Linked DNA regions of Struthio camelus. The protein of the gene in region 1 purifies or fractionates together with the protein of each later gene. This does not show direct contact. Links are inferred from orthologs where the notes say so. Each region holds a gene or a part of one and is shown in the gene's direction. Other genes may lie near its edges. The genes, in order: SIN3B, KDM5A, SUDS3 and ARID4B.

Region 1 (7,388 bases):
ATTTGTTTAAGAGTAACTTTGTATTGGTAGTTGCTCAATATCCTGTTTTCTAGATTAGGAGTAGGTTATCATCATGTGACTTTACTTATGCTTCTGTACAAGTCAGTGAAGATCTGTTGTTTCACCTCTTAAATAAGGCTAGAGAAAAAACAGTCGCTCAGGTCCTGACTTCTCCCTCCAATTTTTTCCAGGTGTGGAGTCTAACAGACCAGGGTTTGCGGACCGACAGGCTGGATGGCATGGGGGCACCAGCAACCCTCTTAGCCCTGTATGACTGCACTTTGGTCTCTGCCTCCTCCAGCGCACCATATCTAAAAGTGTGGAACCTCATTTACGATCAGCAGCAGAAAACCCAGGCACCTGTCCCAGAGACAGGCTGCACTGCACTGTCGCATGGTGGGAACTATGTCTATTTTACCCAGCCTGAAGAGAGACATAAAGTCATCATCTGGGACACCACAGAAGGTGAACTGCATCTCAGAAACACCGTGGAAAATTAAGCCTGCATATGGGGTAGGAGAGAAACAGAGCAATTGGTGGAAGCAGTGAAGGCAGAGTTAGTTTCTGAGCATGTGTGACAAAGACAGTCTGCTCCTTTCTGCTTTTCCTAAGCATGAGATTCAAAAGAACAGGATTCAGGCTTCGAAAGCTTCTTATTCTCCTCTCCAAAGTTTCTGTCTAGAATAGCTTATTATTTTGACAAGGGAAAAATCTGAAATACGAATAATATACAAATAACTTCACAAACAAGGAGCCATCCTGAACCCCACCTGATGGGACATTCACATGCAGGTGCAATAAGAACAGTCTTGCTGATTTCCTTCTCTTTTTACAGGTGCAGTGTGTGACACACTGGACACCTCTGCCCAAGTGAGATGCCTGGAAATAGCTGAGCAAAACCAGCTCCTTTTCACTGGGCTTGTGTCTGGAACAGTCCTTATCTTTCCACTGAATTCCAGGCAGGATGTAGCATGCATCCCACCTCCAGAGTCACAGAAACCAGTCAATGATATCGCAGTCAACAAGAGAGAAAAGCAGCTGGCCATAGCATATGACGATTTAGTCCTTGTGCTGGATATTATCCCTGCAGATCCATGCCCAGTGATCACCAGGCCCACCTACACCTTTTATACCCAGATCCCTGGCTCTCTGGTTTCCAGTGTGGCTGTCCTCGCAGATTACAGAGTCCTCTACGGCATGACTAGCGGGGACTTATTCCTTTATGACTGCCCTCAATCCGCAGTATTTCCTTTGGAAGCTCACAGAAGCCAGATCTCCTGTTTGGAAAGCAGCCATGGAGAGCAGTGGGCGCTCAGCAGATCTGAAGATTCTCTGCAACATCTCTGGGACTTGGAGTTTTGTCAGCAGGAACATGAGATGCACTATTATAAGGTACTTCACTGACAGAGAGGGAAGACAGTGTCTATGGTCAATTACTGCCGTAAGCTATCACAGAGGATTCAGTTCACAGGAATCCCAGCTCTTAAAGAGAATACCCAAATCCTGTACAGAGCTGTTCCAACTGACAAGCAGCAACCTCTTTTTAGCAATTTAGGTCTGATTTTAAAGCAGCCGTATAATCTAGATGCACTGTTAAGGTATCCAGGTCCAAAAATGCTGTCAAAGTAAATGCGTGCTGTTAATACCATTCTGACACTCAAACATAAGTCATAGGAGTTATTTTTTTAGATCTTATTGTTGGTCATTTGCTTTGTTTAAGCAACAGAAGGTGTAAATAGGGCCAGCTCAGGGGAATTCAGTAAAACAAAAGCAGTGAAGAATGCTGAATGTATTCTGTTAATCTTTCACCTGACAATATACCATGGTTGAGTCCAAACTACTCCTTTCCACAGGTGGAAAAATGGGTTTTTGTGTGATCATATTAGGCTTTCTTCTGCACAGCTACAGGGTGCTTCACAAGCTAAGGGCCTAAGGACGTTTCCCACCCTCCTTCCAGGACTGCTCTGCCTTGTAAAAACCTTTATTTAGTTATACTTTCACCCCTGCTCTTAAGGACTGAATAACTGCTGAATGCTCTAAGGCTTCTTCATCTCAACCTATGTTTATCAGTATAACAATCTAATCCTAACCATCATCCATTTTTTAGCCTGCGTCCCTCCTGAAAGGCATTCGCTGTGCTTGCTTCTCAAAAGATGATAAATACTTGTACACTGGAGCATTGGATCAGTCCATTACAGTCTGGGATGTTGCAAGTGGTGAGTAATTTTGAATTCCAGCAATTATGAGAAACAAGTATCTACTACTCCCTGTATTTAAACAGGCTTATACCATTCTTTATGTTGTAAGAAGGGAAACATGCCATACAGCAACAGCTGGTGCACAGATACTCATTTGGTTGAGTATTAGAGCAGAAAACAGCCAAATATCTTGGCCAAAGAAGTCTGCTGATGAACAAAGGTGACTTTATTAGGCTACAGTTACTTCAGAACATGCGCTAAGCTTCCCTTTTCTAGGTCCCTACAAGTATCCTACAACTACCTGCCTGGATTCCCTAACTTGTATCATTGCAATAAGAAACTGCAATAGGGAACATGTATCCCACACGATTACCAGAACTGAAAGTAGAACATTATTGAAGCCAGAAGTAGTATATCATAATTGTGACAAGAAGCTGCAGTTACAGAACTTCAGTAGTAAGCATTCGAGCACACAGAAGGGGAAAGCATTCTGGGTTTAAATACCAGCATCAAATTTTATGGCAAAGCAAGCTAACATCTCCGTAAGTTTCTGCGAAGTAAAACATCAATAATGTTCTAAGGAGAATAAATAATATGGCTCATTATTCCCCCCTCCTCCTCCTCCCTCTTCATTTAACATCAGTGACCTAATTTCACTGAATCCAAACTGCCTGGTGACAAGGGACCATGTGAAGATAGTGACATGTTTTAAGTGGTCTCCTACCACACAGCAAGTCCTTTCCTGTATTCTGCCCTCGCTTTCTGTAGGTGCCTTACTAGCCGCACAGTGCATATACACAACTGCTAGCAGAATGGTACCAACTGCAGATGGGTTTGTTGCAACAACACAACTCGGCTATATCATTCACGAGCGGTTTCACTGTCCTCAGAACGCATCTCCTCAGTATAACCCCCTCCAGAACATCACGGCAACGTGTACAGTAAAATCCAGAAAGAAAGAAGGGGGAAACTTGAGCAAGCAACAATATAACCAAAGAAGCTCTTCTGGGAACCTGATTCGTACCAACAAGCTCTCTCAAATCTGCTCAGTGATATAAACAGCAAAGATGACAAGGATTAGGCATCATAAGCATCCAGGGTAGAGCCTACAGGTTTCTCTTTCCATCTGCTATATTCTTTTGCCTTAGTGTTTTAGAATTACAACATTAAATGCCGCTGAAAATTCCCTTACTGTGGTTATTCAGAGTCTTCTGATATCTTGGCATCGTCCAACAGCTGTCACGCACCACAGCGATAATCACGTAACACAGGTAAGTAAGCAAAAAAATCACGTTTCATCCAGCTACACCAAAGCCGAAACCAGGACTCGGCTTCTACCGCGAAGGGCGGCCGAACGACGGATCAGCAGAAGTTGCCAGCGGGCGCTCGGCACCGAGGCCTGCCCGCGCTCAACCTCCCTCCTCCCCTGCGAGCAGCACCGCTTCCCGGTACACCGGGAGCTCCGGACACCGCCGCCGCCGCCCCACACCTCCGGTGACCCGCCCCGACCGCACCGCTCACCGGGGTCGGGGCCGCCGAGCGGCCGCCTCAGCCGCGCGCCTCCCGCCATGACGGTTGAACGGCCGGAAGCGGTGCCGCGCGCCGACGCTCCCCGGGCCGCGCCGACGGCGGCCGCGAAGGTTCCGAGCCGCGCCGGGCTGCGCCTCGGCGTTCCGCGCCGCCCCGCTCCGTGCAGCGCGGGCGGGCGGGCGGGCCCGGCGGCGCCGTGCGCGCTGACGCAAGGCGCTCCGCACGCGCTGACGGGGGGGGGGGAGGGGGGCGCTCCTGCCCGCTGCCCGACTCCCAACATGGCGGCGGGGGGCGGCGGCGGCCGGGGGGGCAGCGCCCCGCGCTGGGGCGGCGGCGGCGGCGGCCGGGCCGCGGCGCAGGAGAAGCTGCCGGTTCACGTGAGTGCGGCGCCCCGCGACCGTCGCCGTTTACCTCCCCTCCCCCCTTCGCCCGCAGGGCCGCTCCCCGCCGCCCTCGACCCTCCGGGAAGGCCCTGCCCGCCCCGCCGTGACCTGCCCCGCCCCGTCGGCAGGGCCGAACCCGCCCCCGGGGCCTGCCCCCCGCCGGTGCCGCGGGGTGTCCCGGCGCCTCCCCCCCCGCCGGCGCCGTGGGGCGCCCTTGCCCCCCTTTTCCCGGGACCGTGGGGCGCCCCGGGGCCTGTGCCCCCCCCCTCCCCGGTGCCGCGGGGCGCCCTGGGTCCCGGCCCTCCCCCGTCCCGTCGGGTCTCACCCGCGTCTGCTCCCCGCAGGTGGAGGATGCGCTCTCCTACCTGGACCAGGTGAAGATACGCTTCGGCAGCGACCCCGCCACCTACAACGGCTTCCTAGAGATCATGAAGGAGTTCAAGAGCCAGAGGTAACGCCTGGGCCCCCCCGCGGGGCCCCTCGACCTGTGCGGGGGCCCCTCGGCCCTGCGGGGTCCCCCCAGCCTTCACGCCGGCCTTCCGCCTCCTCAGCCACACAGGCCACCGTGCTGGTCCTGTCCCCCTGTAGCGCGGTCAGCTAGACACTCGGGAGATGGAGGGTCTCCATCCATCCCAGCATCGTCTGCTCCATCCTTTCCTAGAGCCAAAACGCACAGGGAAAAGCAAATCTGTTTTTACTGCCCACTCTGAAACGCAGATCTGGACAAGGAGCTTGAGCGCAGAGCCCCTCTGTGACCTGCCAGCCCTAGAGGCGATGGCTGTCGTGTCTGTTTTGGGTAACCTGCACACTCATGTCTCTGCTCTGTGGAGAACGTTTTGTTTCCAGTGGGAGGCTGCAGAGCATGGCAGTCATTCCCTCTGTTTGGGCTGATCTCTAGGTCTGAGGATCCCAAACTTTCTTGTTAAAAATTGCATCTCTAAGGAACCAGACATTTGACATACCTCTGTAATTTTCTGGGTTTAACTTGTATATTTGGTTTGGATGCAAGTAACAAACTCCTCTCATTTCTAGCATTGACACCCCTGGAGTAATCAGGCGTGTTTCACAGCTGTTCCATGAGCATCCCGACCTCATTGTAGGATTCAATGCTTTCCTCCCTTTGGGCTACAGAATAGAAATTCCAAAGAATGGGAAGTTAAGTATACAGTCACCACTGACTAGTCAGGTAGGTTAAAGCACTTATATTACTCTAACTGAATTGTGGTATATGTATCCCTATATAGGTCTCTTGCATAGTTTAGGCTACAAAGCAACATGCAATACGTGTACATCTAAGGTTTTTATGTGGTTTTCAAAGTCTATGAGGATGGGTTTAGTATAAATCTAAATATTTATTCTCAAACTAGTTGTTACTTTAGCTTGCTAAACTAGGAATGAAATTCCCGAATGAATTGCCACTGCAAATCCAAATGCTTCAGTTAAATTTGAAAACTGAAACTGTCACTGGCTTGACATGTTGACATATGTTCTCAGTGCATAGCGTATAATGTCAAATTTGAAAAAAAAAAATCCCGGAAGAATCGTATTTCCAGTCTTTTAGTAAGAAAATGAGAAATATGTTTAGGCAATAGGCAAAAAAAAAAAAGTCAGGTGTTGTCATCCAGTTGTTCAAATCCTGCAAAGAAAGACATCTGCTGTAATATAAATAGATACATATTGGTCTTGGCTTCCCTTTTTCCTGTGTGGTTGTGGAATCTGAAATAGAGCTATCACCTCAATCCTACTTACAAACAAATGGTTTAACTCTAATTAGTAGCAGTAAATCTCTTTTAGATCTCAGTTCTCTTAGATCCCTCTGTTGCTCATAAATTTAGCACCTTTAAGGGGCCCTGTGTTGTAATATGTTTCTTAGAACTGACAGTTCTTCAGAAATAAAACGGTGGCAATAGAAGCTGCAGTGCAGATTATTTGGTACATTCGTGGCTTCTCTACCGTTTCAAGCGTAGTGGATAATGTAGCGACAGAAGCATTAATGAATCAGATAGTTCGTAAGCCAGATATGGCTTATGGGACGTTTTTACCTGATGATGTTAATGACATAAATAAGGAAATTTATTGGCTACATTAAATCTATTTTGTTTCTCCTTTATGCGTTAATCTTTTTTTAGCTAAACTGCTCTAAAATACTGATGCTAAATTGTTGAACTTGCACCTGTGTTTCTTTACAAGTCACTGTCTTGCATATCTTGTGCCACTAGGTGCCCTCAGAGCCTGTTCCCAGCACTCTCCCTGGCAGCGGGCTGTTGTTGCATTACTCTCAGGAGAATTCGCACAACCATAGTGATTGTTCGGAGGAGTTTAGGCAACAGCTTCCATACAAAGAAGATAAATCCCAAATTCCTTTGGAGTCTGATTCTGTAGAATTCAATAATGCCATCAGTTATGTGAATAAGATCAAAACACGTTTCCTTGACCATCCAGAAATTTACAGATCCTTTTTAGAAATTCTTCATACTTACCAGGTAAAAAGTCTTCCATATAAAAGCCTGTGGGTTTGCACTGTAGTTGTTTGAACAGTGTGGTCAAATGAAACATCTGTCTATTGAACAAGCTTGCACAGTTCCCAAGCGCTGGCCTTTGTCCAACAATTGCCTCGTAGATATTCACATGAAATGACAAATGTGTGAAAATTGCTGAACTTTCTGGGCTCTGAGGCATAAAATGATTGTATCTAGATCTGTCTTTACTAACTTTCAGTTGATTTAATGATGTTCTGTGTGATAGGATGCACTATAAGAACCTTGGGCTAGCTGATGTTATGTAAAGTTTGTTCATATTGCTTAGGGTCTTTGGTTTTGGCTGCTGGCTGCTATGGAGTTAAGAAATTTTCTTGCATAATGAGGTATGTTTTTATAGCTATTGAACATCTGTGTGTATCTTTCAGAAAGAACAGCTGAACACTAAAGGCCGACCCTTTCGAGGCATGTCAGAGGAAGAAGTGTTTACCGAAGTAGCAAACCTGTTCCGGGGGCAGGAGGATCTGCTGTCTGAGTTTGGACAGTTCCTCCCAGAGGCTAAAAGGTCTTTGGTATGTGTATGCTTCATGTAAGGCAGAATATTGAGTTCTCTCTGTTTGTAGGTAGAATACATAAAGAAGCTTTAGGAATGCAAAATATTATGGAAAAGCCTACCAGCCAGTAGGTGAACTTTCCTCTTTTTCATTGGTTGGAAGAGACTTAACTACATTCTCTCTGTTCTGTTTGGATAAACAGGATTCTTTTTTTGCACAGGTTAAGGAGAGCGCATTGAAATCATT
Region 2 (7,418 bases), on another chromosome or scaffold:
GCTCAACTACGCGCAGTGGTCGGCGGCAGGACCGGACCCGCGAGGGTGGTTTAGGAGCGGAGTAACTACGGCGGCAGCGGAGCGGGACACAGTTCCCACGCTACCTTCTGCGGGGAGGGGAGGCCCCCGGCGAGCGGTCCGTCGCGCTCATGGCTCCCTGGCGGAAGGGCCGGCGACCCCGCGGTTAGAGGCCCGGACGGGCGCAGCCACTCAGCCGGGCCGTGCCCGTCGCTCCCGGGAAGCGTCGCTCCGCGGGATAAAGGCTCTCGGGAGTCCGGCGCCAAACAAGCCAGGGACAACCGCCGGGAGGCTGACGCTAGCAGCGCGCACCTACGCGCGGCCCCGCTCCGCGCAGCAACGGCCCCAACGACAAAACAACCGACACAACCAACCGTCCACAACTTAAACACCGAGGCAACCTGCCGCCCGCGGCCCCCTCCAACCACAGGCAGCCTTCCATGCCACCCCACCGCCTCTACCAATCAGCGCTGGCGACACGGGCGGCACCGATCCGCGCCGGCGCGTCTGGGAGTTGTAGTTCTGGGGGGGAACTCCGCGGCCTGCGGTGGCGGCACTGCGCGTGCGCGGGTGGCGTGGGCCGGGTGGCCTTGCGGGGGCGCGTGGCTCGCCGTGGCGTTATGGTGTCTCTACCTGACTGAAATGTGCTGCATTTCTGCCGTCTGTGGGGATTTCTCATCCCTCCCGCTGCCTCTCAGGGCTGGCATATTGAGCATCTGGTTTGGGATGCCCAGTAGTGAACAGAAAAATTGTGTATCTCAATATACTTCAACATGCTACCCTGTGTTTTAACGTTTTCTCAGTGTCAGGTCTCTGGAAATACTGGAACGTGCTTCTCAGAACCTTTAAAATAATCGACTGCTACTTTTCTGAAGTTACAGCTTTTGGTTTTGGTCTACAAATAATGCCACTGTCATTTCTCCAGAGACAGATTCCTCAGATAGTGAATGTTCCCCTGGCAGAACATCACCTCAGGATATAGATTACTGGAGGACTTCTTAGTTGGCAGAGGAACACTTAGTGAACTGATCTGCATGACAGTGAGGTTTAGGTCTCTGGGTAAAATAAACGCAGCCTGCGATGGAAACCCTTCTCATAAGCAACGGCAAAAAAACAGATATGCCATTTTTCTTGGAAAATAAACTAAATGAAACACCAGAGTTATGATGCAGCTACAATAAATGCTTAGTTCAAATTGTGGCTGAATATCTAAATTATTTTTTAGATTATCTAAGTATTTTTTACTTTCTTCATCCCCCTCATGTGTCTTCCCAAACCCAGCGGTGCTTAGTATTCTTACAACATATTCAATATGCAACACAGTGTTTGCTAATGTAGTTACAAAGTATGCAGGGAAAAAAACCCTACAAATGAGTAAAACAGCTTTTTTCCTAACCTTTCCCTTGAAAAATTGGACATTTTGTATTACCAAAAAAAACAAAAACAAAAACAAAAAAAAACCCAAGGCTTACTTACAAAACTGTAAAGTTCTTTTTCAAATCAGTTTTCTCAATAAACACAGAAAAGGGAAAGGGGAGGGTAGTTAATTTTCTAGATAAAGTCCATAATAATAGCTGTTATTTTCCTTTGTTACACTACCTCTTTTCTCCAGTTCATATGAAGCAGCTTGAGAACATTGTATAAGGGGTTGAAGTCTTCCCGCAGTAGGGAAGTGATACATAGTTCCAGATGACCAAGAAAAAATAAAGATTAACATGGGGTACAGAAATCGTAGCATGGTTCAATGTTTTGGAGGCTAACAATCCCCAGTCTGGAGCAGGTAACTTGAGAGAAGCATAAAATTTTGTTGCAAAAAGGAGAGCCTGCAAAACTGATACAATGAGGAGAGCCTGCAAAACTGATACAATGAAACAAATGCCCCTTCCAGGTTATTAGGGATTTTTAGCTCTTCAGTCTGTCGGGAAAAAGCTGCACCTGTCCCAGAACTCTTCACTAGCCCAAACATCTTAACACAAAAACAAAACAACCTTGAACAGTCTTGAAGAAAATCAACTGGTTCTCAAAACAAAAGTTTTGCATGGATTAGGTCCTTCTTAGCATAGATTTTTTTTTCCCTAGGACTTCCGGCTAAATCACTGCTTATCTTGGAAATTGGATATGCTGGCTATTCGGCTGTTGAGAATGAGAGTGGTTTCTCTATACGCAGACATTTTGCCAAAAGTGTCTGTATAGCTCTTCAGAAGGAAAGATTACAAAAATTTGGCAGGAATATGTAGGAATATAGGGTAATTTCTAGATATGTGGTAAGGAAACATCTGCATTCCACATGCTTTTCCACTCATAAAAACATTGGGCATCCTTGTCAAGAACCCTAGGCAAAATATAATAGCGCAACAACTCAGCAACTATTAGCAAACTTGGTCAACACTTTGTAAGATCAATTTGCTGTTGCCCGTAAATTTTGCCAAAATTAAACATTTGCACTGAAACCATGTGTTTCCCATATATAAAATACACACAACACCTCTTCAATCTAGCAGGGAAATGGCGCTGATAGATGTATTAATCTTTGTGAAGCAGATACTGTAAACCTCACGGCAAGAGGAAGAGGAAATTACTTTTTCTAGGCTGAGACTGAAATGGTATATCAAAACAAGCTTGGGACTATGTAATAAACAGAATAAATTGAACTGTGGAATATAGTAAACAGTAAATGAGGCCAGCATTATGGTTTAAAAAAAAGTAACTTTAAAAAGTAACTTTTTTTTAAAAGACTGTGTCATAACGGATAGGTTAATTAGGTAGCTTACCCTAAATGCAAGCAAGTCCTAACTTGTGAGTACTTGACTTTGGAAACGTTGACATTTCTTTACTGGGATGAGAGGGTGCAAAATGCCTATACATAATACAGAACTTGGGGGTTGATTGTGGAATTCTTCAGAAAACGCTGTCATTTATTGTTGGCCAGCTTTCTCAGATCTTAATCAAGAAGCAAGGAGACAGCCTGGCTTGAATTGGTACAGCGGTGAAGAAAAATGTGCATTAACCAGTCTTAAAATCAGTTAATCGAAATTGAACTCAAGGCTGGCCAAAACAGGGCGGATCAGGGCAGCTGGCTCTTGTGGTCACTGACACGCTTTGCCCTTTGCCAAAAGAATTCAACATTTCCTTTCCGCATCGTCAACGCTGCAGGACGTGAACGTGCTGGGACATGGCCTAGGACCCACGAAACGCTCTCCCGGCTTCACCAGCAGCACAGACCTCGGGCACAGCTGACCCAGAGCCCCAAAAATGAAAATCACGGTGGGAATTCTTTCCTGAAGAACCGCAACAAAAACCTGGAAGAAAAAAAACCCACTCAAAACAAACACTGTCTAACGATGCAACGTAAGCTTCCGAAGGAAACACCCTCCTGTGGCACGGCCGGTACTTAATTAGCAGGTTGGTTCCCCTTTTCCCTGACCGGGGCCTCCGCATGGCGTCAGCGAGAACGACGGGGGCCGCCCAACGGCCGCTCTGGGCGGGGCCCAACGGCCGCTCTGGGCGGGGCCGCGTGGCAGGGGGCGGAGCTCCCGGCGCTTCCCCTGACGTCCAGCGCAGACAATGGGGGAAATGGCCCTTCAGCACCGGAAGTGAATGGCTCGAGTTTCGCCGCACATTCCTCCGCGGCGGAAGGCGATGCGGCCCCTCCCCCCCCACCGGGGCCGCGCCGTAGGGTGCCGTGAGGGGGCGCGAGTGGAGCAGCGCAGCTCCCCGATCTGCGGCCGTCGTCGCTCGGGCAGCGGCAGGGCCGGGGGGCGACGGGTCCGTCCGCGCGGCGGGCCGCCTTGCCGTGGCGGAGGGGACTACTTTCTCGATCGGAAGACGACCATCTCTCCGTTTCCGGGGGAGGGCTCATACACCGCCGCGTAACTTCCGGGGAGCTGGAACGAGAGCGAGAGCGGCTCCGAGGGGGGAAGGCGGCCCCGGGGGACGGGGCACGACACGGCGCACGGCAACCGCCGCCGGCGCCAACCGCCGCCCGCCCGCCCCGGCCGTCCTGCCCGGCAGCTGCCGCCGTCGCCGGAGGATGCGCCTCGGCCACCGGCCCAGCCCTGCCGGCCGCCCCTGAGGTGCCCCCGAGCGGCCCCTGCCCGGCCGCACCGTCCTGCCCTGCCCTGCCCTGCCCTGCCGTCCCCTGCCCGCCGCGGCCCTCGGCGCCCTCCGGCCGCCGCCATGTCGGGGGGCGGCGGTGGGTCGCGCTACGCGGCCGAGTTCGTGCCGCCGCCCGAGTGCCCCGTGTTCGAGCCCAGCTGGGAGGAGTTCAGCGACCCCCTCGGCTTCATCGGCCGCATCCGCGGCTTGGCCGAGAAAACCGGCATCTGCAAGATCCGGCCCCCCAAGGTACCGCCCGCCCGCGGCCGGGGCGGTGGGGCTGCGCCTGGGTGTGTGCGGGGGGGGTGTCCGCGGCCTCGCCCTCGTCCTCGCCGTGTGCTTAGGGGTCAGAGCGGGCCCGGAGGGACCCTTCCCCCCCCTCCCGGCGCTTTTCGGCCGAGCTTGCGGGGGCTCAAGGCAGCTGGGGCAGGTTCAGAGCTGTTTCTTGTCCCTTCCTCGGGCTGCTTGGGGTTTATGTGTGTCGCCTTTGGTGTAGGCCTTGGTGTCCCTGCCAGGGGCATGCCGTACCTGTACGGTCTTTGACCTCAGGGATGGCTTTGGTAGAGGCTGCTTTGGAGCAGGTGAGAAGCTAGTAGTGCATGGCGATGTCCTGGGCTTCATGCTCTTCTTACTTAAAAAGAACAAACAAACAACAACACACGCACCCACTGTCACGTTTCTGAAACCTATAAAGGCATTGTAGGTGAAACGAAGAGTTTGCTGCTTAGGGGATGTGGGTGGGAAGGATTTTCCTTTTTAACGGATCTTTATTTATAAACATAATCTTGTAGCTATTAATAGAACTGCTGCCAACCTGTTTGTGCCCAGGAATTATGTTTATGTCTAGCAGCTTAGAAAGTAGAAGCTTAGTGTTTCTGGTGACCTGATGGATGATCAGATCATTATTTTATGATGACTTGGCCTGTGACCTGGTAAACCATTTGGACAAGAACATCAAGCAGCTTAGAGAAAGGTTCTTACAGTCTTTAAAATTAATGCCCAAATAAACCTTAAATGCAGCCATAATGTAAGAGAGTTAAAAATGCCCAGGAAGAAAGAAGAACCTCAAAAGAGAAAATGTAATTGAGAACATCCTGCATACAGGAGTTGCTGATTAGATTTCATGATCCTTCCTTTCCTCCTAATCTGTTTGGGTTGCTGGAATCTGTTTAGTTGGTTTAATGACATAGTGAAAACTTGACCTCTGAGGGGCTGCCCTTTCTAAAATAAGCAGAATGGCTTAGACTGAGAGGCCACAAGAAACTGATCCAGATCCTATTCATTGAGAATAACTAGAACTTTCTTAGCAGTCAAGCACATTTATATTTCTCCATGATGGTTTAGCTGTTTGTATTGCAGTGTTTTGCAGGACGCAGGGGTCAGGTTGATTTGCAACCTGCAATAAGGACTACATCGGACACTTTATACTAATCTTACTGATTCGTTATCCTTTTCCATCAGTAGGAGCTATAAATATTTTATGATCTTGCTTGGGGCTTTACATGTTGTAGCAATACAGATAATAAATATTTAGCCTGTCTTGTCCATCTGGAACGTTGCGTCCTTACACCATTGTACTTTCTGTCAGATAGGCTATCTAAAGTGCTTTAAGGTGTCTTTAGAAAGTACTGAAGAGCTGAATTGTGTTTATTTTGATGTCCTAACACAGTTTTGAGAGATGGCGCTGAGAGGTACTTCTGGTTGAACGACTGCTGATCAGGTTAAGAAAGTCATTATTTGAGACTGTGTTTGTGTTAAAGGGTTAGACTACCAACTGGTCTTCCTATCTTTATTGAAATATGACTCTAGACAAACATGAATAAAGTTAGACACATAATAAGGTATTTTATTTGGTGGCTGTCACTGTTGATAGTGAGATTTTGCGGTGTGCTGGATATATAGAACTTTTTTTAAGAAACAACCAACCTACAGGGCATCTCATATTCAAACATGGTATAAAACAGTATACGCAGAAATGCTTTAAACCATATTTCATTTATATTTTTAATTTTATGAGTTTCTCTTTCTTCTAACTTAAATATTATGGGAAGAACATTATGTTAAAAGCATTATAATGTCATGAAACTGGAAAATCGTAATGCAAATTGTACTGAGAAACTCATTTACTGTTGGAAACTTGTTTGCTCAGAAGTTATTAGGGTATTAGGGTTACTATCTCTGTGCGCTCTTCAGAAGTTTCTTGAAGCACTAAAAAGTCTTCCTGTCTCTGTTTAGGACTGGCAGCCTCCATTTGCATGTGAAGTACAAAGCTTTCGTTTCACTCCACGAATCCAGCGCCTGAATGAGCTGGAGGTGAGCTTTTCCACTGTCGATTTAATTTTGTATTTGCACTGAAACCAGTAGGTCTCCTTGCTCGTGGTTTGCATCTTGGCAAGTTTATGAATGGGGAGACTTTAGAAACCCATAGACCACATCAGTGTTTATACTTGGCACTGGCAACGTTTGGGTGAAATAACTCTCCATGGCTTTGAGAAAAGTCTGGCTTTTATTTTATTACCCAAAATAACCACAAGAGTTTTTCACATTCAACTGGAAATCTCTAAAATGGATGCCAAATACCATATTGTATAGTAAGAGCAGCCAGTGTCTAGCCTTCAAAACTCCACAGGGATTGAGGAAAAAAAAATATGTGTGTGTGTATATGTATTTGTCTTCCTAGAATACTTACTGCTGTTCTTAAGCCTCTGGTTACTTTATGCTTATATACCTTGATAATGCCTCTTAAGCCTTAAAATGAAGTGTTTTTTTTATAGGTCTAGTTACAATTAATTAATTTTAAGTTTCAAAAATGCGTGGGAGCTTTATTGAAAACCGTGCAAGTCCCTAGTCTGTCCTGGTTTTTCCTTTCCCTGCAACATTTCTCAAAGGCTTGCTCTGTTCATATACCAAAACATCATATATTATTTGGCTTGTAAATGGGTGCCCTTATGGAATTTTGCATATTGCAAAAATACTCAAGGGAGGAGACTCTTGTGCAGTGTTAAGGCATACAGGAAAATTCTTTATAACTTTTTTTTAACCTTGTACTTCTGTTTCAATAATTGCTCTTGTTTTTCTCCTTGGAATGCTGATTCTTCTTATCTATGTGTTTTATCTTCAAAAAGAGAAATTGCTAGGTGGGAATTTGGATCTTGACTGTGGAGAGCAAAAACATATATAGTATTCTGTTTATAAAGATCTGACTTTTTATTATTATTTTTTTAACACAGCTAGGAAAAGCATCACTTTACAGGTTACATTTCAAAAATATAAACTATTCGAGGAACTTGTGTTTTCTCAGGACT
Region 3 (8,405 bases), on another chromosome or scaffold:
CAGCTTCAACAGGAGAGGCAAAGAGCGTCCCCGCGTCCGTAACTGAACTGCTTACATCTTCCTGCCTAGGCCACTATCCTGTTAGGTGGGTAACGTGATCTGAAACCCTCTTGGACAGGAAGTGGAAAGGAAGACAGGTCTCACATAGCTTCTTTTCCTGTGGGGCTTCTCTGCAGCAAGGGAGGCCGTACCAGTACCACCTGGTTTGCCATTTTTAAGAAAACATGGCAGCTGCCACTAGCCCGCGTGCAGAACGGGTGCGTACTCCACGCACCCACGAGACCAGCGCGCGGCTGCTAGAACGCAACCGGGGGAAAACACCCTGCTTGCAGATAGCAGCAACGGCTGGGCACGAACTCGGCCCTGAGCTGCTCGGCTCTGCCAAGGCTGAGTAAGCAACCACAGGAAAACTTGGATGCCACCAGGGCTACTCAACGGCTACTAAAGTTTTACAAGCGTTATAGTTATAGGATTAGGTAGTTAATTCTGCCTACTTTCCTGTGAAAAGTGAAAAGTGAGGCCCTAAATTCAATTATGCACGTATACATATGCATGTGCGTGTCCGTGCGCATATAGGCATATAACCACCAGAGATCTAAGAGCCCAGCACTTGCTTCCAAAACACGCAGGTGGCTCCTTCCCTCTCCCCGCTCCACAAATAAGACCACTGCTAGACTATGCTTAGCACCTACCGTAAATGACTTCTGGACGTCATTAAAAGAACAGGGGCGTCTTCCGCTAAAACCGAGACAGCGTGCTTAAGTTTCAACCCCGTTTACAGAAAGCGGGCGGGAGCGAAGCTCCCCTTTCCCCGCGGGCTCCACTAAGCCCGCACGAGTGCCGCTCAAGTTACGCGCTCGCGAGCGGACCGGTCTGAACGGGCAAGTGTCACCCGCCCCGGCCGGGACAGCGCTGCCGGCACACGGCACCGCCGCTGCTCCCCCCCTCTCCCGCCAGAGCCGCCTCCGGCCCCGGGGAGAGCGCGGCCGCCGCGTACCAACACGCGCCCCGGCGCCCAGCGGCGGCCGGAGCCTCCCGCGCCCCTCTGAGGGCCGCAGCCCCCCCTCCCCCCGCCACCGGGCGGGCCACGCGGCCGGTGCCAACGGCCGCCGCCCTCACCTGGCGCCGGGAGGCCGGTGGCGGCGGCGGCGGGCCACGTCCGCGCCGCCCGGGAGGGCTGGAGGGAGGCTGCCGCCCCGTCCCCGCCGCTTCCTGCCACGGCCCCGCCGCCGCCCGACGGTGCGGCCCCCTCCCGCCAGGCGCGGCCAATCGCGCCGCCGCCTCGGCGCTCGACTGCGCGGCCTGCCCGCGGAGGCTCGCCCAGGGGCGGGGAGGACTGGGGGCTGGGGAGGGAAGCATATCGGTGCTCGGCTACGCAGCCCAGAAGCTCAGGCGAGGGCGCGGCGCTCCATCGATAGCTCCCGAGAGACGGCGCGCGACTTAGCTACCTGAGCGGCCCACGCCCAGCCCCGTGGGGACGCTTTGGGGGCGGGTCCTGGTCTCGCGCCAGCCGGGCTCGATTCAGTCCGCCTGCTCGCGCGGGGCAGGGCGGGGGGGGATCGGCGGTCGATTGGTAGCGGCCGGGAGCCGTTAGGGCTGCGAGGCCGCCGGGGCCCGTGACGGGGCGGCCGCGAGTCTGTCGGCACCTGCCGCCCGGGGCGGGGGAGCCCTGACACAACCTCGGTGCCCGGTGGCAGGTCGCCCCGGGGGGAGGGGAGGGGAGCTGAAAGGAGGCGGTCCGGCTCGCGGCGATGTGCTTGGGGAAGGACGGGCCTCGAGGGAGGAGGCGGAGTTTTAGCAGTGGCCGAAAGGCCCGAATTAGGAAGAGCTCAGGGCAGAGAGCCGGGGTAAGGCGATATAACGCTTTTCCTGCCACGCTTGGCTGCTGCGATTCTCTGCAGCCCCTGCATCTAGCAGCGAACGCTCCTTTCTTTACAGTTGGACGGTCCCGCGGTGGCATATCCTTTGACTTTGGGGTACTTTTCTGCCAAATAAAACGGAAGGACCACGGGTTTCTGTTCTACCAGTACCTCACACCGCCGTGTTCTACTGTTTTGTTTCTGGCAGCTATTCTCTTGCTGGGCTTTCTTCTAAGCCCGTCGTCATGTGGTCCTTTGAAACTAAAGGTACAACAACTTTACGTTCCAGGCTAAGGGTGTTGTTACGTGTTCTGTTCTTCAAAGGCCAAGGTGCTGTATTGTAGGTTTTCTAGTATAGTCATCTAATTTGCACAGTAGATGAATTGTCATGATCTCTGTTTACAAGCTGAGCTTGGTAACTTTTTTCCCCAGTTCTTACGAATGGAAAGGAAAACACACTGAGCTTGGCTTTGGTGTCAGTTACTCAGTGAATGGTCAAAGCTGACAAAGCAGGATGCAAAAATCTTTCCTCAAACCATGTGCATGTGTATAAAATAAAAAATGAGTTGTGATGAGAACAACAGCTTTAATGACAACATGCGCCAAGTAAAATAGCTTGAAAAAGAAGTTTACATTTTCTCTGATAGCTCTTTGGGGTGTAGACAGTTAAGCTGCTGTATTTGTAAGGGAAACGTGACATTCCTTAAAGCTGAAGCTCCTCCCTCGGGTTCCCACTGAATGCCTGAGAGATGACAGTATAGGGTGGCTCCAGAAGGCTAATATTAAACATGAAGAATTAGTATGGAGGGAGCAAGCAGTAAGTGAGATTCTGGTTTTAACCACAGAATGAGCTAAAAATTTTTGCATCAGCAACTACGTGCAGTTCCTTACTCATTCACCATGCACAGCTACTGTTCAAAGGATTCTTGTGTGCCCTCACATTAGTAAATGCACCTGCCCTTTGTATGATGTGTGAAAGATGGGCTTCTCTTCAAGGATAAATCTGCTTCAGACAATCAGAAAATGCTGATGCAGTGTAACACAGGATAAATTGACCTTCGAAGGGCAGCCTTGGTTCAGGCTGTTCTCTTACAACTGGTTTACTCATTTGCTATCCGCAGCAGTTAAAGCTTGCTGAGGAGCTAAACGTGTGGACACACGGAAGAAATTCAGAAAGGAAATGTGAAAGAGCTCATTACAAAGGGGAAAAGCTCTAAGTGGGGTCTGATTTGTTCTGAGAAAGGGTTTTAGCCAGTATGAGTTCTATTTTTAACTCTGATGCAACTGTATGACTTTGGGAAAGTTATTTAAACAACTCAAGCCAGGTGCAAGTCCCCGGGGAGAGGAAGTACCCATTAGCACACTCTGGTGCAGCTGGGGGACTCAGTCAGCTCATGTGATGTGGCAGCAGCCACCGCACCCTTTCCTGTTCACCCTGTGGCCATATGTGGTCCTAGCAGCTATTGCTGCGTGGAGTGGGGAGAAGCAGAAGGATGCTGATAACCCACAGCACCCGGTGTTACTGAGCAACAGAGAGACGGTCAGCAGCTCCAGTATTTAGATCTCCAAAGTGCCAAGTTAAATGCCCTCAAACAGAACATTCCGATCACGAAATTGCTCTAAATAGCATTGACTTTTAGCTGTGTCTCAGCATCATCTCCCGTAAGAGGTAATATTTACTTATGTAAAAATGGTGTCATGCATACTTTGCATGGGTGTTCCAAGTTAAAAATTGTCAGTCAGTGCAAACAGATCTTCAGGATGACCTGCAGAAAAGCAAAGTGCATGTATTGTATTGCATTATTGCTGTTCTTTTCAGAACAAAGATTAGGTAGGACCTGGTACTCTCCTTGGCTTGTGAAAAGCTGGTTTGGCTAGTTTAAAATAAAGGCACTGCAGTGTTTTTGAGTTCAATCCTTTTTTGGATAGAACCTATTATCTTTTATTTCCTTTTTCCTGGTTAGATGTTTATAGTATCTCAATGAGTCAATAGGTTGTGCATTTGAGGAGCGTCTCTTGTGACTGTCAAGGTAAGCATTTAGCACAGCTCTGCTAGAGGCAGTGAAGCTAATTGGTCAGTTCGTCCCCGGTGACTTACGCTTGCAGAAAAGGGCTAAATGAGACAGCCGGGAATATCAATTTGAGACTTTTTCATGCTGCCTGGGATCATGTGTTTAGTATGGTGCCCGTACGTGTCTCACTGTGGCCTCTGTATCTTCGTCCTTAACTTTGTAGCAGTGCACAGGCAGGAGAATAATCTATATCCGACAGCTGTGAAGTGTCCATAATGGTTCTGGACCCTTTTGTTTTATGAAAGCTGCTATTTATTGATGTGAAGTAGCTGCTTTACCTTGTGCGTGTGAGATCACAGCACCGTGGTGGCAGTTTGTTGAGGAACAAGGAAATCGTTTATTGGGGAAAAAAAAGTAGAAAGGGTATAGAAGCGTCTTCAGAAGTCCTTTCCCATCGCTATAACATCCTACTCCAGATTACCTGGTGAGCAAAAGCATTATTGCAACTCCTGTGGCTTGTGATGGAGGCATTTCACTGGGATAGATGGGGTCATTGTGGCAAAAATGAGAACATTGATCTCTGGTTGCCAAAATCCCCTTTCCCCCATAAATCCCTTGAAGGGGAAGCGCTGCTGGTTGGCAAAGGCAGCACATAAGTATGCGCAAGGTGTGTTTTTATGCCTTAGCACAAGCACAGAGCGGAGCTGTTCCCGTTGGCAGAGGGAAACGCAGATTTTGCTCCCAGAGCCCTGGGCGCAGAGGTGTCTGCTGAGGGGCCTGCGGGCAGCTCGCTGCTGGGCAGTAACGCCCGCTGGAGCTGCGCGGCTCTGGGCCGCCACGAAGCAAGGCTGCCCTGGAGAAAGAGCCCGGCTCTCGTTCACGTCCGCAATAGGCGGGAGCTGGCCAGAGAGCTGGGCGCGCCGGCTGCTCTCCCGCCGCGGTGGCAGCGCTAGCAGGACGGCTGGAGATCCGCCCCGCTGACGCGCCCGGACCCGGCGGGGCCGGGGCTCGAACCCGCGGCTCGAACCCGCGGCCTCGAGAGAACCGCTCCCGCCCCGCCCCGCCGCGAGGACCCCGCCCTTAGGTGCCCGCGGCGTCCGCCGGGCGGCCGGCCCGCGCTCGGGCAGCGGCGCGGACAGCCCGGAAGCGGAAGTGCGGGGCCTGGCGCCGTTGCCGAGCGCCCGGCGGAGGCGGCGGCAGCGGCGGCTGCGTCCCGTCGCTATGAGCGCGGCCGGGCTGGTGTCTGCCACGCCGCCGGCCCCTGCCCCGCCCGGGGCGCCCGCCGGCGCCATGCCCCCCGGCCCCGAGTACTACGAGGAGGAGGAGCTGGAGAGCGCCGAGGAGGAGGACGGCGAGCGGAGCGCCCGGGCCCGCGACTCCGACGAGGGTCGGTAGCGGGGGGGGGGGGGCGCTGCGGGCCCTTGGCCTGGGGAGGCGGCGGGAGAGCGGGGCCGGCGGAGAGCCCCGGGCGGGGGGAGCGCGGAGCGGGTGGGTTTCGGCGGGGCCCGTCGCCCTGGCAGCCGCACCGCTGCCGGGGAGGAACCGGGGCCGCAGCGCGACGTGCAGCTCCTCACAAAGGTGACGGCTCACTGCTCAGGGGCGCTGCTCGCAGCGCGACCGGATTAAACATGGGAGCCCTTTCTTTAGGGTAACTTAGCTATTTAACTGTTCTTCTTGGAGTTAAAACACTTTACTTTCTCTTTGGTGTGTTGTTTTTTACCTTAACGTAAATAAGCATAAGGTATTTGTTCATGGTTTAAGAAAAATCTGAGAAAGGCTGGATTTAAAGGACTGATTACCTCCGTTCCCCCCTTTATAGAGAATATAGCTGTAGTTTAGGCTTTACAGTTGTAGCCTTAAGTCAATCTCAACTCTACCTTGGAGAAACTGGCTTTCCCTGGAAGAGGAAGGGTAATTAATTTTTGGCTACCTGGTCTCAGAAATAGGAACCTTAAAAGGCAACAACAGAAAGCTAACAGTGCCCTGTTAGTTTATTTTACTTATAATTATCTGTTGGCAAAACTGGGGCTGTGTTTATGTAATTGTGATAGTCTTTGCTATGTGTAAATGGTGAAATACTTCTGTGAAATATGTAGCAGAGATGTCAAGTTCAGATCTTAGCAAATAACTTCACGTATTATCTTTGTAAGCCGTAATGGCATCTAGTAGTAGCGTTTTTCTTGTGAAATGCATTTCAGAGTCTTTGGGTCGTGTTACCATCTCACCTCTGTATTTGTGGGCACTAATGTAGAATCTGTTGTCTTAAATTGGGAAGAAGCTGTCAGGGTATCTTAAGCTGAAGTCGTTCAAACTCGATGTAAGCTTCATTGCAAGCCTACGAGTGAATCTATGTGGGACAAATTGCAGTTGCAGGAAGCAGATGGGGTGGTTCAGTTCACTGCTGAATGAGTCTTTCCAGAGGCCTGTCGAATTGTAAAATGGAGAAGTTAAATTGCCTGTTCTTTTTAAAATGACTTGACTTTTTTTTGCTTTTTAATATTACTTTAGTTTCAACAACTCATTCTTTACCTTTTTTAGATACTGAGGATGCTAGTGAAACTGACCTGGCAAAACATGAGGAAGAGGACTTTGTGGAAATGAAAGAACAGTAAGTAACCTAATCTAATAAAAGTAAGTCAATACTTAGTTTTCTTTGCATAAAACTTTGCAAAGTTTTAGGCTGAAGTTAGGGACTTTTGTAAGTTCTTTGCCCAGTGTAATAGTTGATGAGTCCATATACACCTATCTCTTCTTTCCTCAGTTACTCTCTCTCTGTTCCATGTGTGTTCAAGGCACTAAGTGCTGCTACCGTTCTGAACAACAAAATAGGTGCAGGTTGAGGGAGCAACTCAATTTTGCTGCAAATTAATTCCTCGGCAGAAAATTCTTTTAAATAAAACAATGGACCTACTTGATTCAAGCCAAGTCAAAAGCAAGTTACCTGTTAAAATCCCTTAAGAATAGAATGCCAGCAATGTCCAGGAAGATGGGAGTTTTGGGCACTCGAAATAGCTTCTCTTGAAGTTTAAGTCTATTTGCAGCACTTTGTGGTCTTGCTTACTGGCAGAGAGATGGTTGTATACAGGTCACGAAGACGCAGCCTGTGGTAAACTGCAGATAGGTGAGAAGGGAAATACAAAATCTATTCCTGGTGCTTTTGGGCTTGCTTTTAGCTTTATTGATGTGGGTGCTGGGGGAGGCTTGCTTATAACTTCAAGTCCTCTGTAACCTGAGGAAATGTCCCCTATGTTATAAGTAGGGAACTAACGCACAAATATTAAGATCTGACAAAGTGGTGTCATGTTAGATTTCTGCATACAAAAGATAATTCTACCATGACTGTTCTCAAAATAATTGATTTGGGTGTGCTGCAATGTTAATGGGGCTGTAGGATTTTTAAATTGAATGATACTTTTTCATATATTGTTTTTTGCTTTCTGGAGTTCTGGAAAATTTTTAATTCAGTATATATGCAATAACCTAAACAGATGGTGAAATAGACTCTTTGTTTTGTTTTTCATTTTTATGTAATTTTGTGTGCTCTCCCTGCAGGATGTATCAGGACAAACTGGCATCTCTTAAGAGGCAATTACAGCAATTGCAGGAAGGTAAGCTCTGTAGGAGGTAGCTTTTTTCTAAAGAATTTTCAGCACTTTTCAAAGCTGAGGATTGATTTGGGAACAGCTGCAGAGGTCGTAGAAGGATTAGGGTTTTGAAAGCTGTAAGTAGGGCCCTTCACTGACCACATATCTCGGTCATGCTCTCCTCACTGAAAAGTGTTAGCCGCTTCTGATACTACACACTTGTAGGTAAGTCTCTGCGTACTGAAGTAAGCGTTTTTTAAAATGAGTGGTCTATGTACTTTTTGGGGGAAAAAAAAAAAAGAAAAAAAGAAAGGAGCATTCTTATCAAGATAGGGAAACTAGAGTTGTGGTTTCCTGATTTTGAGCATTAGTGTTGTTGTTCCAAGTAGTTTATGGCTACCTGAGAATTTAACATGAGGAAAGAATAAAATCTCACTAGGAATCAACAATCTCTTTTTAACTAGGTACTCTTCAGGAATATCAGAAAAGAATGAAAAAACTGGACCAGCAGTACAAAGAGAGGATACGGAATGCAGGTAAGCTGCATTTCTTTCTAAGAAGCTGCCTGCAGATGAAGTGCTTCGCACCTCTTTTCCTATGACCCGAAAAAAAATAATAGGTTCTTCTTGGAACCAAGGATTCTTCTGTCTTTTTGTGGGTAGCTTGTTGTTTGTTTGAGGACGCATGAAACATGACAGAATCTATCGTGCTTTTCTTCACTGGCCTTGTTTGCCGAGTGTTTAATAAACACCAGTAAACAGTTTTGGTCCTCACTGGTGTGAAATAGCACAAATGAAAATACTTTATTTTTAATGGGCATCCTGCCTAATCTACAGTCTCTCGCTTTAGCTGGTTCTTTTGTGCAACTTGTCTTAAAGATTCAGGACTGCTGTTCCTTTCTGTTCACAGGAGTAGAAAGACACTTTCCCAAAGGTCTGTTTTATGCCCTG
Region 4 (7,586 bases), on another chromosome or scaffold:
CATGCTATTTCAGCATCATTTCTCAGTTATTTAGCAAGCATCTTGGAAAGCATGTACTTTTCCCTCTGCAGCAACTGAATGATATTATAAGTTACCAACACAAGAACTGCTTTAAAGTGACATCTTTAAGTATGGACAGAGACATTTTTAATATAGCTATATTAAAGGGAGCAGTTAACACCAGTGGGCTAAACTCTTCCACACCTGCTCAAAATAATCCAGCAATGTAGTTTCCCCTCAACAATTCAGAGGATTAGCATTAAGATCACTGCTTCCTCTTAAGACACCTGGACCAACTGGCATTCCTCAGCATTTCAGCATCTTTTCCCTTTCAGTGGCAGCTTATTCAGTCCCTGTCTACTCCCATTCCCACCCTCCTGCCCCATAAATATTTGTAGCAGCCCAAACTGGGGAAATAATTCACACGAACAATTATTTTCCAAGTTTACGTCTAGATCAGTTCCTTCATTTGGTTCACTACATGAAACCACACTGCAACTTCAGAGGCAAGAGGCTGTTGAAGCAAGCACAGTTGCCCAAGAAACACTCATAAGACCATGCCGTTTGGGAAAGCTTTGCATAGGTTTTCATCAGCAATGCCACAATAAGTGGTACAGCTCTTCCATCTCATGGTGTACCAGCACAACTGACTGTCAGGCCACACCATAATCTAAGTCAGGCTTAACACAACTCTTTTTGTGTCATCTTATTGGTATAACTGAAGGGACAGGAACTGCTTTTGAGCCAGCACTGCCACTGAGGAAGTCAGCTGTGAAACTGCACCCTCATACCTAAAGGGCAAGCCTCAAACTTCTTCAGTGAGGAAGGACAACCAAAAAGATTATCCCAGTCCATCGTCAGATATTTTGACCAGAAAGAAACTTGTAGCGAAAGACAGAAGGAGGCACTAACCAAGTTAACACATCTCCTATGACTATTATCACCAAAAAGCCACACAGCTGGCTTAGAAGTGGAAGTGTTTAGCTACCCACAGAGCTAAAGAGAGAGATGCTAAGGTTGGAATTTCTTCTCTGTCAAGGCTTCTCATAGCTAGAAAAGCAGTCTACAATGAGCATGCACAGTAAATGCTTTTATGCTTAAATGCATGCTAAGACTGAAGTCTTTCCCAACACAAACTGCTTGAAAGTAAACCTTGAAATTCTTCTTCTTCTTCCCTCAGAGGATGAGAAGGTTTCTTTCTTGTCTGTAGGACAGGCAAACAGCATTCAAGATCCTTAACTAGCTTGAAATAGGCTGGTATTACACCACTAAATCCCCAGCCTTCTAGTGCTAAACTGACAGAAGTCTCCTATATTAGTTTCTGAGACACTGCTTATCCACAGAAAGTTAGCCAGACACTTTTCCCTACAAGGGCCTAGATTTCTTCCTTTTCAAGACAGACATAAGGAAAAACACTTTAAGAGACAAATAATGGTTGGTGACTTAGCTTAAATTACCATAGCTAAGCTTTTCTAGGCTGCTATGCTACCTCTACATGAAATGGTAGATAACCTGTGCTAAGGGAAAAAGCAACAGTCTAATCATTCATAAGAAAACTACTTGTCTAACACACACAGCAAAAAAGAATAGTGACTAGAACTCCCCAAAGTTATATAAGAAAGAGGACACCTGATGAAATATGTAAATGAAGACGCTTAAAGGCTGATCAGCAAGAATATAATGAAGCATGAGAGAAGACGGAGAGCAGTAACATCACTGCTCTTTGCAGAAAATTCCTACATTTAACACACCACAGGAAGTTATTGATATTAAGGATTTTTCACTTAGGCAGCTGATCAACTTACTATAAAAGTTACACTGCTACAAAAAGTCCTCTCATTTAAGAAAATTTGAGACAAGATCTCAGTCAACATCTCCCAAAAAAGTAGAGCTGCAAGAACTTCAACAATAAATGAAAGGGAATATAAAGCCTTTATTGGTGGAAGGGCAATCTTGCATGTAGGTTTATTCAGAAAATTAAGGCAGTTAAGGCAATTTTGCTTAGTTCAGTTTTCTTTCAAACTGTACACACTTCCTGCATGTCAATTAACACAAAGCTTTGAATTTTTTCTAGCAGCTCCATATAAGCATACTGTAGAACAGCTGCTATAGGCACAATCCACGCCGTGACGAGACAGAACCCACAGAACTGTCTTTTGAACTGCAACATACTTTATCTTTAATGATCTCACTGAAAACACACAAGATGCTAGAAAAGAACAGCAGTATGGGCTTCCAGAAGTTGGAACTACTAGAGATAATTACTGAAGCAGTGATCCATAAATAGGAGCTTTCCAAAGGAGGCAAGTAACATTAGACCTATGTTGCACTTACAGTAAATCTTCACTTTTGAACTTCATAAACAGCTTCTCACTCCATCCCTTCCACTCCGCAGGATATTCTCTGCCCTTGTCCTCAGCTCCAATTGGTGAAATAAGCAAGATGACCAAAGTGTTCCAGGCTACATATACACCTAACAGAAAACGGTTCTTTAAAAAAAGCTGCCTCATCTCAAGGGCTCCATTCACAACACAATTGCACAGAAAATAAAACAGAGCCACCAAAGGAGCAGTGAACTGCACTGAAAAAAAACACCCAACCACCCAGAAAGTTCTTAAATCAGCCTCATCACAGAATGAGGTTCACTGGGACACTGGTTTCATTGTAACCAAGGAAAAAAGCCCCAACACAGGGGGAAGTAGGAGCGAGAAAGTCTGTTTCAGAAGGAATAAACAGATACTGTTGTGAATGCACACTGAATTGAAGAGGCTATCAAGGCTCCTAATCCAACTGGGATTTGGACAGGATGCTTGTCATCCTAGCTCACATTCTCATTCTAACTAGAAGAGTTCTTGTTAGAACTTCCTGGACTGATACTGAACAAAACCATATTGCACTTAGAGTAGGCAACATCCCACAGGTTGAACAATGGCTGTAAGGCATCCTCAAAAAAAGCAGCTAAATTACTGTCTTTTCATGGCTGCAATTTAACACTTTAGCCCTGCAACACCAGAACAGCTAGAACATCGTGTTGAAATGGAAACACAATTTCAGCAATATCTCCCGGTACAACTGAGTAACAACGACACAGCAGCAAGAGGAAGAGAACCAGCCTCCTGAAGTCCCCACACTTAAGTGGTGGCAGCATACAGACAGAAAGAGTGCAAGTTATCAGCTGATCCAAACACAGAAAGCAAACCAGCAGAGACCAGAGTCATGCCTACTGCAGAATCGCTTCTCAGATTAAAAGTCGCATTTCGCAAAGAACATGAAGTTGTTACCCTGCTAACAGATGCGTGAACCCTCCCTCCCCCATCATAATCGCAACAAAGGCGGCACGGTTCATTTTTCAGAGTTTGATGCGAGCGCTGTAAACGCAAAGGAGGCTGCAGAACCTCTCCGAAGCGCTCCCACAACCCAGGAGTGGGCAGCTCAGCACCACCAGCGCCATTTTAGATAAGACACGGTCGAGAGCGCGCTGAGGACTCCTCGCTCCCCCTGCCCGCCGTCCATCCCCATTTTCTGATCGGCGCGGCCGGCAGCCCGAGCTCAGTCGCCGGGCAGGGAAGCGCCGCCCGCCTCGGCCGCTCAGGCAGCCCGCGACGCCACCGGCGCCGCCCAACCCGCACGGCGGCCGCAGCCGCCGGCTCCGGCCCCCCTCCCTGCTCACAGCCCCTTCCCGGCCCCTTCCAGGCAACCGGCCAGCCCCTCCTGGGCGGGGCGGCCGCGAGAGCCGCTCCCCTCCCAGCCGGGCTCGCCCTCACCGCCCCGAGCCCCGCTCCAAAGGGGAGTGGGAAGCGCCGGCTCCTCTGACGAGCACAGCCTGCTCTCCTCCCCCCTCCCCCGCCGCCCCACACACCCGGTCACGGGCAGCGAAGCCGCCTCCCACCAGTAACGGTCGGCGAAGGCGGCGCGAGACAGCCGCGGGCGGCCGCTCGCACGCGGCCTCAGCCCCAGCAACCGCCGCTCACCTCCTCTTCGCCGCCAGTCGGAGCCGCACCACGCTCCGCTCCGCTCCCCCGAGCGGCCCGCGCCAGGAGTGGCGCCGGCGGCGGCAGCAGCAGCACCAACGACGCTCGAAGCACCGCCCCCTTCCGCTTCGCCAGGCGCCACCTTCCCCCCTCTTGAGGGAAAATGCGCCACCAGAGCCTCACTGCGCAGGCGCCAGCTCCGCCCCCGGTTTAATTAGCATTCGGCTTCGGCCCCGTCCCCTCACGGCCCCTTCCCGCGGTGCGTCCTGGGATATGTAGTCAGGCTCGTGTGCCAAACCGCTTCTCGAGCCCTGGTGAGCGGCGAGGGAAAGCAGCAGCACCCATAAGTCTTCTCGGTGCCGACTCTCAGTTTCCATAGAACTGGAGAAGAATGACGTCAGTATTTCCGAGGCGGCAGCCAATGGGGCAGAGGGAAGGGAGGGGCTTTGCAGGCTGGAGCCCAATGGAGGAGGCGGGGAGAGGGGCGTGTCCGTCTCCCTCCCGCCCTTCTGTCCGTCCGTCAGTCAGTCGGTGCGGGAGGGGGAGGGGGAACCGAGAGGCTCCGAGCCGAGCAGTCACCGCCGTCGCCGCCGCCGCCGCCACCGCCGAGTCCGAGCCGGACGGATCGACCCCGCCACACGCAGCACGGAGCAGACGCTACCAGAGCCGTTGCCGGAGCGTTGACCGGGGGCCGAGGCCGGGCGAGGGGGGTCCGGAGCTGAGAGGAGGCTTCGCCCCGTTCCCGTCCCTCCCCCCCGCCTCGGGTCAGGGGGAGCAGCGGGCGGGCGGGCGCCGCGGAACAAAGGTAACAGCGACGAGCCGGAGAAAGAGGCGCCGGGCGGCGGCGGCGGCGGGCGCGGGGGGGGGGGGCGCGGGGCCGGGCCGCGGCGGCCGGGCGTGCGTGCGGGGGGGAGGGGGGCGGTTGTTTTTCTCCTCGGAGCGAGACTGCGGCGGGACTCGCCGATCCTCCTTCTCTTCTCTCTCTCTCTCCCCCCAAACACCCGGCGGGGGGGAGGGGGATCGGGTGCCGCCTGCGTGCGGGAGGGACCGGCGGCTCCTCCAGCCCCCTTCGCCTGCCGACAGGGGCCGGAGCCCCCTCCTCCACGCAGAGGCTCCGTGTCCCCGCTGAGCAGGTCGGGCCCCTTTCTCCCCGCCCCCCTCCCTCCCTCCCCGTTCCCACTCCCTTCTTTTCTTCTTCTTCTTCCTTTTCTTCCCCTCCGCCGCGTCCCTCCCCCCCCCCCCGACCCGCTGCGCCGAGCTGGGGAGTTGCGGCTGTTGCTGCTGAAACTCCTGCCGCGGAGTCAGCGCTTTCCTTTATTTTTTTTTTGGGGGGGGGGGGGGGGAAGCCGCCGCGATCCGGAGCCGCAGCCCCTGCAAAAGCGTGAGAGTGGCGGGGGAAGGGGAAAGGTGGGGGGCTGCCCCCGACGACACCCTCCCTGCCCCACGGCGCAGGCAAACACTCCTCTTCCTCGTACAATGGAGGAAGAGCCTCCCTCCTCCCCTGCCGCCCTCCTCCTTCCCCCTCTCCGGCGCCCCGCGGCAAAGCGGGGGGTTGGGGGGGGAAGGAGGCGGGGGGGGGGTTGCCCGGGGCTCGGGCCCCTCCGGCCTCCTGCCGGTGCCCGCGGAGGGGGCGCAGCGCCCCGGGAAGGCAGCCGGGGCCGCCTCCCCCCGCGGCAGCCGGGGAGGCTGGGGGTGGGTTGTTGTTGTGGCAAGTTTCTCCTCCTCTGACAGAAATGGCGTCAATGGCAGCGAGTGTAGGGGAAGCCGCGGCGTGCGGGAGCTGGAGGGGAAGCGGTGGCCGGGGAGGGAGGGGAGCGGGCTAAGCGGGGGGCTCTGGGGGAGGCGAGGGGGAGTTTCGGCAGGAGCCCGGCCTCCCCCCCCCCCTCCCGCCCCGATCCTGGCCTCCCCTCCCCTCCCCCGCCCGGTGCGAGCGGCTGGTGCGGTGCCTCAGTGCTTTGTTTTAAATTCCAGGTCCAGCCTCGGCCGCTCAGCCCCGATCGAGGCTTTTACCGCAGCCTGAGCTCATCATGAAGGTAAAACACTCACTTGTATGTCTGGGAGGGGAGGGGAGGCAAGGTTACGTGAAGAAATGCCGTCCTGGCTGTCAGTCCGTCTGTCCCGACCCCGGTGCGAGGCTCGGCGCTGGTGCGGATCCAGACTGCGGGCTGCTTCGCCCCAATGCTGTGTTAGTGCCTCCGCTCCTTGGCTGCTCGTGGGGCGGGTTTTGCTCCACCACGTTTTGCTGGGGAAAGTGCAAGTTCGCTGAGAGAGGGCTGTTCTCCTTCAGAAACATTGTTTGTAGGAGAATAAGGACATGGCTGCCTGGGCTGAGCTTGCTTCATGGAGGAACAGGGGACAGTCGCCCAGCTTGAGAAAGTAATGTTGCAGGGGAAATGCTGGCCACACAGCCGTGTTTCTCTGAATAGAGGGTAAATGGTAGATTTACTTGCCTTCTCTTCATTAAGAGGAGTTTTGTTGAATGAGTGATCCTGATCTGATCAGGAAGGGAGCATGTAAGAGATTCTCTGCAGCGAAATGATTGCTGTAAGGTGCAAAAAGATTTTCAAACAGGTTTTAATTTTCTTCTCAGTGCCGTGTACTAGTCACATACAAAATTGTCACAAAGTGAGTGCACTTTTCTTCTCTTAGGCCTTTCTGGACCATTGCTTTTTGATACATTGGACAAAGTTTTATAGAAAAAAAAAAATCAGTGGCATAAAATGATTTCTTCTATGTATGGCAAAGAACCATGCACCTAAAAGTAGTTTTTAAGAACTGAGATTATTAGTCCTTTTGTCATTTTGCTGCTGATTTCTCGCTTGAGCTGCTTTTTATATTACCCTGACCCCCAGGTTGTGTAATCCAGATCCTGGCTATGCTGGGCTGCAGTGAATCTTGTTTCAAAATATTATAAACCTTACCAAAAATGATGATTATGAAGCTATGATGCATCAGGTCATTGGTATTCATCAATAAAAAGAGCAGTATGTATGTGGAATCTTGCACTATCAGAGTTGTGCTACTGCATATCAGTTTGTGTATTATGTAAAATATGTACCCTGTACTGTATTCGCTGCTGGAAATGGTAGATGATATAGACTTTTTAATTTCTAGATTGATATGATATTACTAAGAGTAGCAAACTGGGCCTTTGTATAGCTGTTAAAGGTTCAGCCTGTTTTGCTTACTTTGGTGACTTAATGACAATATCTTAGGAAAAACAGTCCTGCTTTAAGTGCCCTTCCTCTGCTTTCTCTCTAGTAAGTGTTAAGATCTAAAATGCTGCACACATCTTTCTCATTAGAAGTAAACTATTTATGAATTTACAAACAACGGACTGTCAATGTAGTATGATACGGAGCTTCTCAGCTGTGGCCCATTGCCTAGCAGGGATGCAGGAGATGGAAGCAAAGGAAATAGGAGGCAGTATATGGAGCTATTTTCCCCCACAAGCAAAACCACTTATTTAAATGACAGCTAAATTTACGTACATTTCTAATATTCTTTTTCCATGTAAACAAATCCTACGGTTACCATAGAGATTAGGTTCTGATTATAGAGACATATAAATATGTAGATAGACAGTTGGGAGGATGAGAAGGTCGGATCACAAGT

The links.
Region 2: the proteins of SIN3B (region 1) and KDM5A purify together in Homo sapiens (affinity purification with mass spectrometry; 4 studies listed by BioGRID and IntAct, with this or other methods). This does not show direct contact. The link is inferred for Struthio camelus from reciprocal best matches to the Homo sapiens genes SIN3B and KDM5A.
Region 3: the proteins of SIN3B (region 1) and SUDS3 purify together in Homo sapiens (affinity purification with mass spectrometry; 3 studies listed by BioGRID and IntAct, counting the BioPlex papers as one, with this or other methods). This does not show direct contact. The link is inferred for Struthio camelus from reciprocal best matches to the Homo sapiens genes SIN3B and SUDS3.
Region 4: the proteins of SIN3B (region 1) and ARID4B purify together in Homo sapiens (affinity purification with mass spectrometry; 3 studies listed by BioGRID and IntAct, with this or other methods). This does not show direct contact. The link is inferred for Struthio camelus from reciprocal best matches to the Homo sapiens genes SIN3B and ARID4B.

The regions. Positions count from the first base shown.
Region 1 is NC_090967.1:5,365,567-5,372,954, forward strand, and holds the start of SIN3B (paired amphipathic helix protein Sin3b), read left to right. Parts: upstream 1-3,970; 5' UTR 3,971-4,006; coding exon 4,007-4,105; intron 4,106-4,455; coding exon 4,456-4,562; intron 4,563-5,143; coding exon 5,144-5,297; intron 5,298-6,330; coding exon 6,331-6,594; intron 6,595-7,016; coding exon 7,017-7,160; intron 7,161-7,388. Other genes in the region: NWD1 (NACHT domain- and WD repeat-containing protein 1), read left to right, coding at 192-465, 836-1,392, 2,108-2,216, 2,967-3,256.
Region 2 is NC_090942.1:68,941,898-68,949,315, reverse strand, and holds the start of KDM5A (lysine-specific demethylase 5A), read left to right. Parts: upstream 1-3,989; 5' UTR 3,990-4,194; coding exon 4,195-4,362; intron 4,363-6,348; coding exon 6,349-6,426; intron 6,427-7,418. UniProt on the Homo sapiens protein: Histone demethylase that specifically demethylates 'Lys-4' of histone H3, thereby playing a central role in histone code. Does not demethylate histone H3 'Lys-9', H3 'Lys-27', H3 'Lys-36', H3 'Lys-79' or H4 'Lys-20'.
Region 3 is NC_090958.1:7,270,679-7,279,083, forward strand, and holds the start of SUDS3 (sin3 histone deacetylase corepressor complex component SDS3), read left to right. Parts: upstream 1-5,020; 5' UTR 5,021-5,092; coding exon 5,093-5,258; intron 5,259-6,409; coding exon 6,410-6,479; intron 6,480-7,423; coding exon 7,424-7,479; intron 7,480-7,919; coding exon 7,920-7,991; intron 7,992-8,405.
Region 4 is NC_090944.1:89,169,214-89,176,799, forward strand, and holds the start of ARID4B (AT-rich interactive domain-containing protein 4B), read left to right. Parts: upstream 1-4,463; 5' UTR 4,464-4,776; intron 4,777-4,876; exon of another isoform or gene 4,877-5,104; intron 5,105-5,942; 5' UTR 5,943-5,998; coding exon 5,999-6,004; intron 6,005-6,017; coding exon of another isoform or gene 6,018-6,018; exon of another isoform or gene 6,019-6,156; intron 6,157-7,586. Other genes in the region: GGPS1 (geranylgeranyl pyrophosphate synthase), read right to left, coding at 3,396-3,451. UniProt on the Homo sapiens protein: Acts as a transcriptional repressor. May function in the assembly and/or enzymatic activity of the Sin3A corepressor complex or in mediating interactions between the complex and other regulatory complexes.